Notamacropus eugenii: one gene and its partner. Each later gene encodes a partner of the first gene's protein in a complex. Links are inferred from orthologs where the notes say so. Each region holds a gene or a part of one and is shown in the gene's direction. Other genes may lie near its edges.

Region 1 (7,661 bases):
GTATTGCTTTAGTAATCAGATCTGACTGTGCCAGTAAACTTCAATGGTTCCCTTTTTAACCTCTGGGATCAAATATAAAACAATCTGTTTGGCATTTAAAGCCTGTTCCAACCTGACCTTTCCAATCTTGTTACATGCTGTTATGATCCTACAACACCAGCTTCTTGCTGTTCCTAGAACATGACACTTGTCTCCCAGCTCAGTGCCTTTTCACTGGCTCTTCCTTGGTCCTGGAATACTCTCCCTCATTTCTGTCCCTGGATTCCTCAGCTTCAACGCAGCTCCAAGCACCTGGGCATGGGACTATCCATCCTCACCCCTTCAACTGTCTCAAGCCTTCCTTCTGGCTGTTCATATCTCGCATATACATAGTCATTTGCATATTGTCTCCTCTGTTGGAATATGACTTCCCTGATAGTCTTCCCTGATAGGGATCTTTTTTTTCCTTCATGGCTTTTGCATACTACTCTGTACAGGATCTGGCGTCTAGTAAGTACTTAATGCTTATTGACTGAGGAACTGAGAATTCCCAGACTGACTGATTTGGCTTCCCTTCGGCATGGTTTCTGGAGATCTGGGTTTGAGGGTACAGTAGCTGCAGAGTAACATGGATGATACAACATGGAGAGTGCAGCATGGCAGAAAAAAAGGCATCTCCAGAGAATAACTGGGAGTAGGGTTTGAGGTGATGACTGCCTCGTTGGCCCTGAACAGCAGCCCAAATTGCCTCACTAGTCCTGGGAGATTAGGATTTGGTGCCAGAGCAATGTTATCAGTGGGCTCTGTTCCTGCTCCTACATGGTACCTTATCAACTTGTGCTTGCTTAGAGGAAAGGTCCCCGTCCAGGAATGGTTCTCCACTGCTGCCATGAAGGAAATCCACCAGGTGGCGCCCTTTCACTCCCTTGTTATTTGAAAATGAAGTAGCAAGGTTATACTGTTCTTAGGCTAGTGAGAAGTCAGGGTTCCTGGGAAGACGAGGAAATGTTGGTTTGCTGTCATTCCCAGGTAGCCCTTTTCATCCACCCTGGGCTTCAGCAGGCAGCCCCTGCCCCAGTAACTTCAGGTCACCATGGCCCAGACGTTCCAGTGAATGACCCATGGTTCCCTGTCCCTTACCACTGAGTTGGGAATGTCCTGGGTGTTTGACATCTGGGCAGGGCATCAGGGCACATCTGCCACCCTATTAACCACCTTGTGAGAATCACGGAGGTCATTTTGTCCTGCTAAACTTAGGCTGTTTTAGTTCAGAGTTAGATGGTGTCAGAAATAATAGTGGGGTGCAGTTATCCCATGAGAAAGCAGGCCTTTAGACTAGGTGGCTTTTTCAGTATGCTGTGCTTATTAATGGAATATGCCTTCTCTACCTTCCACAAACTTGCTGTAAATGCATTAGTTATATGGTGTCCCTCCTACAAGGAAAGGATGTAGCTAATTTTGCTTTATTTTCACTCCTGCCATTTTTATGGGGCATTTGGCAGGATCATAGATTTGGCATTGAAAAAGACCAAAATAGATGGCTTCATTCAGAAATAAGTCCTATAGAGCCACCTGCTATATGTGCTCATAGTTAAGGTGAGGCAGATCCATTTTTCAGTAAGCTGCACCTCTTGCTCCTTCTCTCAGGAGTGAGTGGCCTATAGGCAATGGTGGTCTTCCCCCCACACACAGCCAGTTCTGATTCCTTCTGGACAAGGTCATTCAGTACAGGTGATGAACTTTACTATTTCCAAGGCAATGAGCCTCTGGTCTTGGAGCGAGGCACTTGTCCCATGTCACAGGGTTTGGGTCTGGACAGAACTCTAAAGCAATCTAGTGGCACATGAAAGGCAGTGTATCTTTATCTTAAGAGTCACAGATTTAGAGCTAGAGGGCACCTTAGAAAGTCATAGTACAAACCCTTCATTGTACACATAAGGACAGAAGTATGTGGGTTGAACTAGGTCCTTTTAGCTCTAAATTTATGAATCTATTGTAGGAGGTTATATTCTAAAAAGAATTTCCCTTAACTTCCTGAATCAGTATGATTCATTTGGAAGAAACTCTGATAGATACCTGGGTGATGAGTTTGTCTTGGAAAAGAACTTTAGAGGACACAAGTTGGTGGCCCTTCAGATGCTCTTGCGTTTGTTTGGCTAAGGAGAGAGGTGACTTGCTTTGATGAAGCTTGACTCTTAGAGATTTTGAAAGAATATATATTTGTAGTGGGTCATTTTCCAAGGAATGGAAGCAGGCCTATTGCAAAGAATTGTATCATCTGTTGATGTCAGAACCAAATGTCAATTTGCATGTGATTTGCATGTTTGGATTAACAGAGAGCCATCCTTAGCCCTCTCCCTTTCCTGACCAAATCCTTCATCCTGGTTGTCAGTTTTGCTTGGGCACCAGCCTAGAAGAAATGCTGGTGGGGCTCCCCAGGCTATGTTCCTGGCAGTTGAGAGAGGGGAGAGAGAGAAGAAAAGGAAAGAGATCCTGAGATTGTGAGTCGGAAAGGACCTTGGAGATCCAGCCAGTTGCTCATCTTGTCATTTCTACTCCACAATATCTCTTCATCTGTCAGCTTTCCATTCATGCAACCATTTTAGGCTCTTTGTCTCTAGCCTGGACTGTTATAGAAATCTGATCATCCTGCTTCAAATTATTTCCTCTTCACCCATCTTCCACCTAACTGCCAAAGTAATTCCCCAAAGCATAGACTGGGCTAACCATGTCACTATACTCTTCTGTTACGTCTAGGGCTCCCTATTATTTCCAGGATCAAACTTCATTTAACATTGAAATCCTTTCCAGCGTGGCCTCAACCTGCCATGTATTAGTCTCCTTTTCCAACTCTGGTTCAGCCAAACTGGTCTCCTTGTTTTCTCACACACAACACCACATCCACCCACATCATTCTTTTTCTCCCATCCAACTGTCCTTCCTCACCTGTTTCTGAGAATCCCTAGTTTATGTCAATGCTGGAGCGGAACCTCCCACATCAGACCATTCATGAGTCCCCCAGCTGTTGGTGAATGAATGAATAAAGCATTTTTAAGCACTTGCCTTTTTTTTAAGTAAAACACTGTGCAAAGCACTGGAGATACAAATAGAAAAGTGAGACAGAATCTTTTCTCATAAAGCTTACATAGAACATATATAAAAACTTCAACAGTATGTCAGACTCTCAAGGTGCATCAGTAAAGCAGGCGGTAATGCCTCTTTTTTAAAAATATCATTTCCACTGATAATACCATATCATTTTCTAAGGTTGACCCATTGGAGAAGGCCAAGGATTGTGGTGACAGAACTTTATTTTCAGGATCTTCAGCAGAAACAGTTGCCAGGCTGCATCTGAAAAGAGTTGCTGGAAGCATTACCATTTCCATGGCTCTTAGGTTCAGGGCCCTGGACTGTCTCTATCAGAATCTGAGGAAAAATGGTGGTCAAGGTGATGGTGGTACATACACATGATGCTTCTTATCTCTCCTTCAGGGCACCTCAGAACTTCAGCTAGTCTGGCAAACCTTCCCAGCTAACACTGTGTGGGGGGAGGCCAGGCATTCTCTTTACCTTTTATGTACTTTGTATATATGCCTGTGTTATCTCCTAGAATTTACCCTGGTAGGGTACAAACCAGACCCCTGTTTTCATTGGAAAAGAGAACACCCCTCACTGATCAACAGTACCTAGAAGTGTGTCATTTCCTTGGTATAGGGAACTCCCCCCACCACCAGAAAAATCCCCAAACAAAAGACTCCAGTGCAGGCTGACACTTTTTTAGCATCTTAAAGGTTGGGGAAACTGTTTTAGAAGCAAGAATTAGCCCTAGGTCTTCCAAAAGTCATGGAGCTGGAAGGAACCTAAGATGCCATCTGATGGATCCATTTTACAGATGAAAAAAGGGAAATTACTTCTGTCCCATGGGACAGAGGCACCAAGATGGCACATGATGACGACTTGCTGGCCTGCTGCTAGTACACTGGCCTATCCCCTCCCCCCACTTCATTTACTAAGAAGGAGGCCTAAGTGGGAGGCAGAGAGGGGGCAGTGGACCTCCAGTCTGACTCCCCTTGGCCGCCCTTTCCACTGACCCTCCGCTGGAGAGCTCAGAGCAGCGGTCAGCAGGGTGCGAGGTCAGTTTCTTCCAGTCCAAACGAGCTTTGCCTAACAAATAGCATTGGAAAATAGTGAGCCCGTAACCTGACTCTGCAGCCAGGGGGCGCCATAGTAACCAGAGCGGGACCTGGAGCCACGAAGACCCCGCCTTCTGAGTTCAAATTCAGCCTCAGACCCGTACTAGCAGTGTGACCTTGGGCAAGTCACTTCACGCTTTTTGCTTCCGTTTCCTCACCTGTAAAATGAGCTGGAGAAGGAAATGGAAGATCACTTCAGCATTTTTTGCCATGAAAACCTCAAATGGGGTCACACGACTGAAAAACGACCTACCAACTACCACAGTCCGACCGTGCGTCGTGTTGCGGGGCGCCCGAGAGGTATTCCAGGCTAAGACACCCTAAAAGGTTGCCGCGCTCAAGATGGCGTCTCCCATTCACCGCCACACTCATTATGGCGGAAGTGAGGGGGCGCGGCAGGGTTAGGGGTCAAATCTCGCGAGAGAAGCGGCCCCACGGCCATGCGAGAGTTGGGCTGGGGCCGCAGGAGCCAAGATGGAGCCGGGAGGCGGTGGGCCAGGCCCTCTGATCGTGAACAACAAGCAGCCGCAGCCCCCGCCGCCCCCGCCTCCCGCGTCCCCGCAGCCCCAGGCCGTGGCCCCGCGGACCGCCGGCGGCGGCGGGGGCGGCGGGGGCGTCCTGCCCGGGGGCAAAGGGCGGGAGTTCAACCGCAACCAGCGCAAGGACTCGGAGGTCAGGGGGGGGGCGAGGGCGAGGGCGAGGCCGGGCCGGGGTGGGCAGGGGCGGGGCCCTGGCGGGGGCGGGGCCTAGGAGCGGCCGCTGACCGGGCGCTGTCCGTGCGCTGTCCGTGCGCTGTCCGTGCGCTGTCCGTGCGGCGGGGGCCGGAGCCGGAAGCTGTGCGAGGCCCGAGGCCCCGGGGGCTCGGAACCGCGGCGGCCGTGGGTGGGCCCGGGGCGACCTCGGCCTCCCGGGCTGAGGAGGGAGCTGGGCGGCGCCCTCCGGAATGGACCGACGCCCTCGTCGGCCGCGGTGCCCCTGCCCTCGGAGAAGCCACTTGAAGGCCGGCCACCCGCTCCTCCTCCTCGGTCGTCGGGCCATCTTCGCCTGGGTCACCTCCAATCTCCCGACCTGGGTGTGAAAACCAGAAAGTGCGCCTTGGCCCCGAGCGCCGCCCTGGCTACGCCCGAGTCATTCACCGGCTCGGGAGTAGTTCCGCCCACCGGCCTCATGAATGAAAATACACGTTGGGGTTTCCTTTTTTTAAAAATTAGGTCACCTTAATCAGCATATTCCCCAGCACTTCGCTGTTCCTTGGAGAATCATGCTTCCTGAGATAGTCACTGGGAAGGAGAGGGGACCGAACTCCTTCACCAGGAATTTTCTGACCCGGTGGCCGAGGGAGGCAGGCGTCTGTCAGGGAGCCGGCTCTTAGGGAATGTTGTCACATTTTCAGTAGTTCGGTCTTTAAAGCCCCAAACTGGCCGATCTCAGAGGAGCCTCACCGTCGGCGAGACGGTGGTGATTAATTCAGCCAGTCTGTATTGGCGGCCTACCCAGTCTGGATGAGGAAGGCGCCCAGCTCTGGCCCCGCTCTGTGCCCGGCCCTGTGCCCGGCTCTGGCCCAGCTCTGGCCCCGCTCTGTGCCCGGCTCTGGCCCAGCTCTGGCCCCGCTCTGTGCCCGACCCTGTGCCCCGCTCTGTGCCCGGCTCTGGCCCAGCTCTGTGCCCGGCCCTGGGCCCCGCTCTGTGCCCGGCCCTGGGCCCCGCTCTGTGCCCGACCCTGTGCCCCGCTCTGTGCCCGGCTCTGGCCCAGCTCTGTGCCCGGCCCTGGGCCCCGCTCTGTGCCCGGCCCTGTGCCCCGCTCTGTGCCCGGCTCTGGCCCAGCTCTGTGCCCGGCCCTGGGCCCCGCTCTGTGCCCGGCCCTGGGCCCAGCTCTGGCCCCGCTCTGTGCCCCTTGTGTGACAGGCACCGTGAGAATGCAGGAGAGAGGGGCCAGGGAAGGCCGCCCGGAGCTGGCGTTGGGTCTGAGGCTGACCTTGGAGGGGGGCCTTTAGCACGGGGCCCTGTGCAGTGGTGAGGAGGGCCCGCAGGTAGCGGCAGAGGGGGGCAGAGAAGAAGCGGGGCCGCGGAGTCCCAGAAGATCAGAGTTTGGCTTTAACCCGTCGGCAGTGAGGAGCCACTGAAGATGGGCAGCGTTGGTTGTACGAGAGGATAATTAATGGCGCAGCGGTATGTTAGATGGACGAGAAAGAGGAAAGAGTGGGGACCCTGGAAGCAGCACTGCCTTTGACCGGCTTATTACCAGTGTGGGGAATCCCCACCGTTCCGAGCCTTGGTCAAGTGAGTGACTTGCATTGGATGATCTCCAGGGACCCTTCCAGCTTTCAGTCTCTGGTCCTGTGATCGATGGGGAAGTGTTGGAGTCGAGAAAAGCCTGAACTGGTTGGTAATGATACAACAGAGGAGGCTTATGGAAGTAGAATCCACGAAAATGGTGATTGGCTGGTTGTGGAAGGAGAGGGAGAAACTCAGCTAATTGCCTGAGTTATTTGAACCTTGAATGATTAGGTACGTTAGAATAAAGAAGTCAAAAGAGGAGCTTGTGTCCTTGAGAGGAGAGATAAAAGTGATGAGTCAGATTTCATGTATGTTGAGTTTGAGGTGTTAGCAAGACATTGATTTAGAGATGTCCAGAAGAGAGCTGAAAACTGGTCCAAGGTCAGACAGGTTAGGACTAAAAGAGATTTTCAGTTATCCCCGTAAAGGTGATGGCTAAAGTAGTAGGAGTGGATAAGTGTATGTAGAAAGGAAGATCCTTGAGGGAGATCCCCAAGAGGCAATTTGGAAAAAATGCTGATTTTAGAGTCATAGGACCTAGATTAGAAACCTGGTTATTTTCAGAGTATGAGCTCAGACAAGTCTTTCCATTTCTCTTGGCCCCAGTTTGTAAAATGGGGGATTTAAATTAGATTATTTTAAAGACACTCTCCAGCTCTAAATCTTGTGACCTCACATTTACCTGGGTAAGGAGAAACAGAATAATCTAAGAAGTAGGTGTAGAAACAGAATGTGATATCACAGAAGCCAAGGAAAAAGAGAATTTCAGGGAGGGAAAAGTGAGTTGTGTCATGCTACACAAAGTTCAAGAAGGGTTCAGACTGAGAAGAAGCTCTAGAAATGACCTTTATGGTAGTGAATTATATGTCATAATTCAGAAGCAATTGCCCATCTCCCTAGTTAGCTGTCAACAGCGTGCTATAGAAATGTTTGTCGACACTTCCTCCATGTGCCTCAATTTTTACTAAGATCCAGTAGATGAAAGTTTGGACAGTTGGAAGACAAATGTCGCTGTTATTCGTCCTTCGTCTTAGAGGTTACCAATGCACCATGGGTCAGTGTCTTCACTCATGGGTGAATTGATTTAAGTGAGGCAGAGTTGCACAAAGTTGTTGGCCTTACTTTATCTTCCAGAGTCACCAAAGTACAGACACATGTATCTAAAGATAGAAAGCAGGCCCTATGTAGATACTTTTTTCCCCATTTACTTATG
Region 2 (7,199 bases), on another chromosome or scaffold:
AGTCACTTCACCCTGTTTATCTCAGTTTCCTCACCTGTGAAAAGAACTGCAAAAGGAAATGGCAAAGCATTCTAGGATCTTTGCTGCCAAGAAAACCTCAAACGGGATCACGAAGAGTCATATATGACTCAGCAACATCAACATCTCTCACTCCAGACACAGTGCTTTTCCCCAGTGTACTAGATGTTGCTCTCTTTCCCTTTCCCTTACTATCCAATTAGAATGATTCATATCAAATGTAGTAGATTGGCTACAAGGCCTGGGCTTCAGAAATCTGAGTCCAAGCGCCAACTCTGCCACTTATGATGTTACCTTTCCAAGCCTCAGTTTCTTCATCTGTTCTTCTGTGCAATATGAATAGTGGGCTCTGTATACTTTGACACTATGAAATATTTCCCCTCTGAAATGTTCAATGATGCAACGAAAACATACTTGATGATTTTTGCAGGTTAACTTCCAGTTTGTTCCAAAATTTCCTTGACAAAACCCCTCCTCCTTTTCTCTTTGGGTTATTTGATGTCTTCAGACCTCCTGGGCCAGTATTTATGGACTGCTGTGGCTACACAAGTTTAGGAAATTAGGTAATGGGAAGCTATTATAAATTCTGAAGAGTGTGGTCTTTTAGAAAGAATGTATTTTAGGATGATTAATCTCAGATAAGGATGAATTAGAGGTGGGAGAGAACAGAGTCAGGGAGACCAGCTCAGTGACTATTAAAAGTAATTGAAGTGTGATGTGACTAGGGGTGGTTGAAGTAGGAACATTCATATCAAAAAGTATGGTCAGTCCAAGTCAGTTAGGTAAATAAATGTGAAGTCCAGCATCACAAGGTTAATTTAATACAGAGTATTATCCTTTATTAAATACATATAGAAGCTAAAGGAAGCTAGATTTGCTCTCAAAGGGCCTTAGTTAGAATCCTAACTCTACCTATCTCTCTACCTACGTGACCTTACCTTGGATAAGGGAGGGAGAGTTAGTGTATGACATTTTGTTTGCAGATGATTGTGCACTCAATGCAGCCTCTGAGGTTGAGATACAACAAAGTATGGATTGATTCTCTGATGCTTCTGCTTCAGCCAGCACCACACCATCCATATGTGGAACCATCAGCAAATGGAGAAATTTTGAATGCTGGGGATAAATTCATTTACCTTGGCAGTATACATTCCAGGCATGTGCACATTGATCATAAGGTTGACACACTCATTGCCAGAGCTAGCTCAGTGTTTGAGCAGCTCCGAAGGAAAGCATGAGAGATAAGAGGTATTCGGCTGTCTACCAGACTGAAGGTCTACGGAGCCACTGGGCTGACCTCATTATTGTATGCCTATGAAATCCAGACAGTCTACCAGCACCATGTCAGGAAATGGAATGGCTTCCATTCAAATTGTCTTAGGAGGATTTGAAGATCACCTGGCAAGATAAAGTACCAGACACTGAGGTTCTCTCTCAAGCTGAACTGTTAAGCATTCAAACTGTACTGCAGAAAAAACTCAGCTCTGATGGGCTGGCCAAACATTTGCGTAAAAGATTATTTTATGGAGAACTCACACAAGGTAAACACTCATATGGAGGTCAGAAGCAGTGATACAAAGACACTCTCAAGGTCTCTCTGAAGAACGTTGGAATCAGTAGGGAGACATGAGAGACACTGGCCCAGGACCACCTAGCATGGTGTGCCCACATCAAAGAAGGCACTGTGCTCTATGAGTAAAGCAGAAATGTAATAGCTCAAATGAAGCATGTGATAAACAAATTTAGAGACATCTCTACTGCAAATGCTCATATGAAATGTGGCAGAGCATTCCGAGCAGCCAGCAGTCAGACACACCCCAACATATAGTGATGGCATTTTGGTCCTCTTCAAGAATGAGAGATGACAGCCAACCACCTTGGGCAAGTGACCTGACATCTCTGGACCAGAGTTTCCTCCTTTGTCTAATAAGTAAGTTCGACTATATGCGTCATAAAGAAGGTCGCTTTCAGCTATAAATCTGTGATCAGGTAATCTGTTAGGAACTTTGATGTATCCCCCAAAACCTGAACTTCCTCTTCCTCCTGGCAGCCCTTCCATATCTTAGCAGACAGCCTTTATGAATTGCTGTAGCCAAAAACATCGAGCATAGTCAACCTTTTGTTTGATGGGCCTTTACTTAGGCTGGGCCTTCACACTTAAACTACAAGCCCTTTATTGGATTTGGCTTTAAATTTCAGGCTTGTTAGTACCTTGTTCTGCTGGAATAGTTTTTGAGAACACAGGGTCGGGTCACCTGGGAAATAAAATTTTATCCAATTGATCTTAAAAATTGCCTGTTTTCCCTCAAGTGTGAAATTGAGGTAGTAAGAGTGAGGTCTGAGCAAGGAGCTATGCTTATGTGTGTGCTACCTATGTCTGTGTGTGCCTAGTAATCTTGCCCATAGATGGTGAGGTCCTCTAGATACTACTGTTTGCTGGGGAAATTGTGCTGATTGCATCCAAATTGCCTAGCATTAGAGGTCTTTTTCAGTGAGATCCATGGTTACTCAAAAGGGCTCAGCCTAACACTTTAGAGAATATAAACCAAATGGATAAAAAATGCTTATTGTCCAGATAACATGCAGTTGGATGGCCTGTACATTAAGTCATCCATTAACACATATATCCTATACCCTTATAGGGGTTGCTGATGGACAATAACTTGAATCCAAGAGGAAAAGAGTGGGCTGAACTCCATTTGGGAAATTGAATAGTGCTTTTAAAGACTCTAAGGTACTATATGGTTAAAAAAAATTATTTTTAAAGACCCTTTTAACATATGCTAGAATAGATGCTGGTCTGCTCTAGAACCAAAGACATGCCCTGAGGGATATTACTGAGTCAAAGTATGACCAGAGAAGGTGTGAGCAATGTGGTGGGAACCAGGGCCATCTCACATGCTTCACTGGTATAGTCAGATGGCACAGAGAAAGCAAGAAAGGACCCACACCTTTTGCAGGAGGGGTAGAATCCCTGTGGTGATCCTATGGGAGGGCAAAGAACAGATTAACATAAGATGGGCAAAGGTGGATCAGTTGTGATTAGCGCTGTTGAAGGGAATATTCCATATAGTGGCCTACTGAAGGAGTGACCCTGGACGAGTCACTTGTTCTCCGAAGGGTTTAGTTTCGCTCTACTCTAAAATGAGGGGGAGCTGAACTCTGTAAGGACCCTTTCCCATGTGACATGTGATCTTAGCACCCAATCTCATGGCACTTCTTCACCCAAAAGCCCTGACGGGGCAAAAGAAGGTCACAGTGGGGAGAGTTCTTTCCCTCCAATTGGGCATTAGCAAGTGGCCTGAAAGTGGGCGAGGCTGAGTATGCTAAGCCCGGGGTTCTCGTTTGCTCTCGAGGCTCTGGCCGCTCGGGCGGCGGCAGCATCCACTCCACCTTAAGATCCTGCCTCTAGAGGTGATCTTGCCTCGCGTCGTGTCCCCTGCCCTCAGGGCGCCGGACCCTTCCGCCAGGGTTTCCCCCCTCCCCGAGGTCCAATTTCTTGGGAACCGCCAGAGTGGGGGCGCTTCTTAGAATCCCTGAAGCGCCTAGGGGCATCCCGTAGCGTCCCGTCCCGTCCCGTCCCGTCCGGTCCGGTTCCGCTCCGTTCCGTCCCGGAGGGCCAGGGCCAGGGGCAGGGCTCGCTGCTGGCCCGCCCTTCGCCCGCCCCTCGGGCCGGCCAGCCGCCGTTGGCGCCGCCTCCCAGCCTGCCAAAAGCGGCGAGGCGCCGGCGGACGGCATCACTGGAGCCCGCGCTGCCGCACCGCCCCGCACACGCAGCGCCGCGCGCCAGGCGGCCCGAGGCGAGCTCAGCCGAGGCAGCGCAGAGCGCAGCTCATCCGGACGGCGGCGGCGGCGGCGGCGGCGTCGGAAACAGCAGCGGCGGGAGCCGGAGCCGGAGCCGGAGCCGCAGCGGCGGCGGCGGCGGCGGCGGCGGCTGCGCAGGGAGCTCTCCCGCTCTCCTGTTCGCGCTCGGTCCCCGGGGCACGCGGACTCGGCCGGTGAGGAGGCTGAGGCGCCCGCAGCCGCGCAGCGCCCCTCACCTGCGCAGCCCTCCCCTCTTCTCTGTCCCGGGCCACTCACCGGCGACACGCCGCGCTCATCCGCTCCCCCAGGCCGCGGTGCCGGCGCCGGCGCCGCAGCCGCCAGGGCAGGCCCGCGAGGGAAGCCGGCCCGAGAGGACCGCGCCGCCGCTGCAGCCGCCGCCGCCGCCGCCCCCGCCATGGCGCACTCGCCGGTGGCCGTGCAAGTGCCCGGGATGCAGGTGAGGAGGCCCAGGCCGCCGGGGCGGCCCGACGCGGCCCAGGGGATCGGGGGTGTCTCTGGGGCTCCCCGCAGGGAGGCAGGGCCGGGGGTGGGAGGACGGCACGAGCGAGGGGGCGTACGACGGCAGGGGCTGGGATGCAGTGGAATGGGGGCCTCGATTCCGGGCACCTGCTCCCGCCGTGGGACGAAGGCAAGGTCGGGGGCTGCGGGCGGGAGGCTGCGGCAACCCCTCGGTGGGGGTCTGGGCCCCACGGCCCTTCCCCAGGAGTCGGGCCGGGCCGGGCCAGGGGTGGCGGAGGAGACGCTGAACTAACTGGGCTCTTCCTGTGGGTAGAAGAGGTGACTCTCTCTTTTTCCTTTCATTTTGGAGCTGCTGCTTCAACGGTGAAGTCTCATCCCCCTTCGCCACCTGGAAATCCGAGCTCCGGCCCGATTTCGGGGAGCCCTTCTCCGCCCCCACCTCCGTCCCCCACTCCCTCCCCTCCCCCATTTCCTAAGGGAAAGAGAAGTTTGTGCCCTGGGTAGCAGAGGACGCGTGTGCGGGACGAATATGTATTTGTACGTTATCATTCATCATGCACCCTCCCCTCCCCCCTTGACAAAATAATAATAACAAAAAGCAACAACCCACAAACACCTTCGCTTTCTTACAAAAGCAAAGTTGTTAAGCCTTTGGAAAGCCGTTGAGGAAGACAGTTAAGACATTTGGGACTGCATTTCAGGCTAGTTAGTGAAAACTGTCCAAGTCTGAACTAGTTTCTCTAAATAAGCATACACCTCTTCCTTAAACGCTCCCCCCCCCCCCCCCCCATTGCTCCAGAACTCTTTTCAGAGGCCAAGAACTTGAAAGCCTCAGTCCCTCCTCTTGTAACAGTAAGAAAACTTTTTAAAGTTCAGAAAAATGTGTTAGAGTAGTAGGCAGCCCACATTTCCAGAAACATTCCTGACCATGGATTTTCAGCCACCTGTAAAGTTTCCTTTAAAGTTTTATTGGGATTTGAATGTCATTTTATTTATCCTCTTTTATGCAAGTTCACAGAGATTTTTTTAAAGTCCTTCAAAAGGAAAAGTAATTTCTATTGTGTATATATCTAACTAGGTTTTAGCAGGGTTTCCTAATGACTAGGCCTTTTAGATAAATTCAGGGAGACTTCAGTGCCTAGTCTCAAGTTTTTACTCTTATTTTTGAGAAAATAACAGACTGAGCTCTCCTAAATTTAATCGTTTCACATCTTGTGAATTGCTCAGTCATTTCTTTAAAAATAAAACGATTTCTACTTTGGTTTATATAAAGCAAGGGCACCTTTTAACAATTCTGTTTTTATACCTGTGATTGTTATTACTATTCATAAAGTTTGGGAATCTCAGAAGTTCAGTAAGTGCTGAGGCATTCCGTGTTTCCAAATGGCTTTAAACTTGTCCTATAAATTAGTTAGCCACTCATTTTCAATGTTTATCCTCTTAGCTGCTTTTCCAGTACATAAGTGATTCAGATTAATGTTCCTTTTTCCTCAATTACAAATTGCACCCCTGTTTCTCCCCACAGAGATTGTAGTCTCATGACTCTTAAATGGATTTTTACCCCCAAATCAGTACTAGGAACACAAAAAAGATCACTTATCTGCCTCTTTTTCCTTAATGAAATTTTAAGTTCTCCACTCTTTCCGCCACCCCCCCCCCCAACATAGTTCTTAAGCTCTTGCTTTCCACAGTTAAGTTTGTACACTGCCCTAAAAATAAATATCTGACTGCATGAGCATAACTCTTAGGTCCAAGCTACTTTGAATATTCATTGTGTGATGTTGTAGATGAAGTACTTACATAGCAGAAGGGTTATTATTTTGTAAAATACAGTTAGGGAGATGTATGGAAAGTTTTCAGACATACAGTGCTAAAGAAACTTCAAAGTTAATCATATGTTTTAGAAATTACATTTTTAAAAAAGCAGATCAAGACAATTGCTCTTATAACTTTCTCCTTTAAAAAATTTTTAAAAACAGTTTAAGGAAGTTAGGAGCAAGAATTTTTCCAGAAAGTAAGTGCTCCTGGTTCACTGGCCCCAAACTGGACATTGAAATCGAACTACCTGTTCTATCTTTTAAGTCTGACCGACATTCCTGACTTTAAGATAAAGGAATTTGTGTCACTGGTTTAAAAAAAAAACTTTGAAGAAGACATAGAAATTGTTTCAGTTCTGATACTTCAGTTACTAAACCTCATAATACTTAGGTTGACAGGTTAAACTTTTCTTTTTCCAATGTTTATCTTGTACAAGACTGTCTGTATAGGTCCTCTTAAATTTAAATTTTTATTTGGTCTTGCAATTAGAAGCATTTTTTTCCTATGTTAAGAACCTAAAAGTATAGCACCACTTTTATTATTAAAATAATGTCAGTTTTCACTCCAACGTTGTTTGTTTAACCTGTAGTTGTTAATCTGTGCTGTTCTGTGACACCACTTTCCTCTGGTTCTTGAGGCAACGTGGCATAATGGTTATATTCTGAGAATTAAGAAGACCTTGATTTGAAAATTGCATTGAGATGTTAGCTGTATGATCCTGGTCAAATCACTAAATCTCATTGAGTCTCACTTTTTGTTAAATGGGGTTAACAATGAGGTAATGAGAGTACCTGCCGTATGGGCTTGAAGTGATGATTTAGTGAGGGAATGTATGTAAATCTTGCAAATCTTAAAGCTCTGTATAAATGGGTGCCATAGAAAAGGAGAAAAACGATGGCCTCTGCCTTCAAGGAACTCACATTTCAATTCATCTGGTCATATATAGAATACACACACATACACTGTAAATGGCAAGTCATCTCAGATGGAAAGTGCCGACAGTGGGTGGGACTGAAAGGTCTGCAGCAGGGGGCTTGGCGTTCAGGCAGAGATGACAGTGGTGAGCATTTTTGGCATGA

What was found. The genes of interacting proteins can lie anywhere in the genome.
Region 2: STRIP1 (region 1) and STK26 share a complex: the UniProt entries of both Homo sapiens proteins name them as parts of the core of STRIPAK complex. The link is inferred for Notamacropus eugenii from reciprocal best matches to the Homo sapiens genes STRIP1 and STK26.

Annotation. Positions count from the first base shown.
Region 1 is NC_092873.1:288,381,259-288,388,919, forward strand, and holds the start of STRIP1 (striatin-interacting protein 1), read left to right. Parts: upstream 1-4,631; 5' UTR 4,632-4,646; coding exon 4,647-4,844; intron 4,845-7,661. UniProt on the Homo sapiens protein: Plays a role in the regulation of cell morphology and cytoskeletal organization. Required in the cortical actin filament dynamics and cell shape. Part of the striatin-interacting phosphatase and kinase (STRIPAK) complexes.
Region 2 is NC_092879.1:53,710,350-53,717,548, forward strand, and holds the start of STK26 (serine/threonine-protein kinase 26), read left to right. Parts: upstream 1-4,160; 5' UTR 4,161-4,237; coding exon 4,238-4,279; intron 4,280-7,199. UniProt on the Homo sapiens protein: Serine/threonine-protein kinase that acts as a mediator of cell growth. Modulates apoptosis. In association with STK24 negatively regulates Golgi reorientation in polarized cell migration upon RHO activation.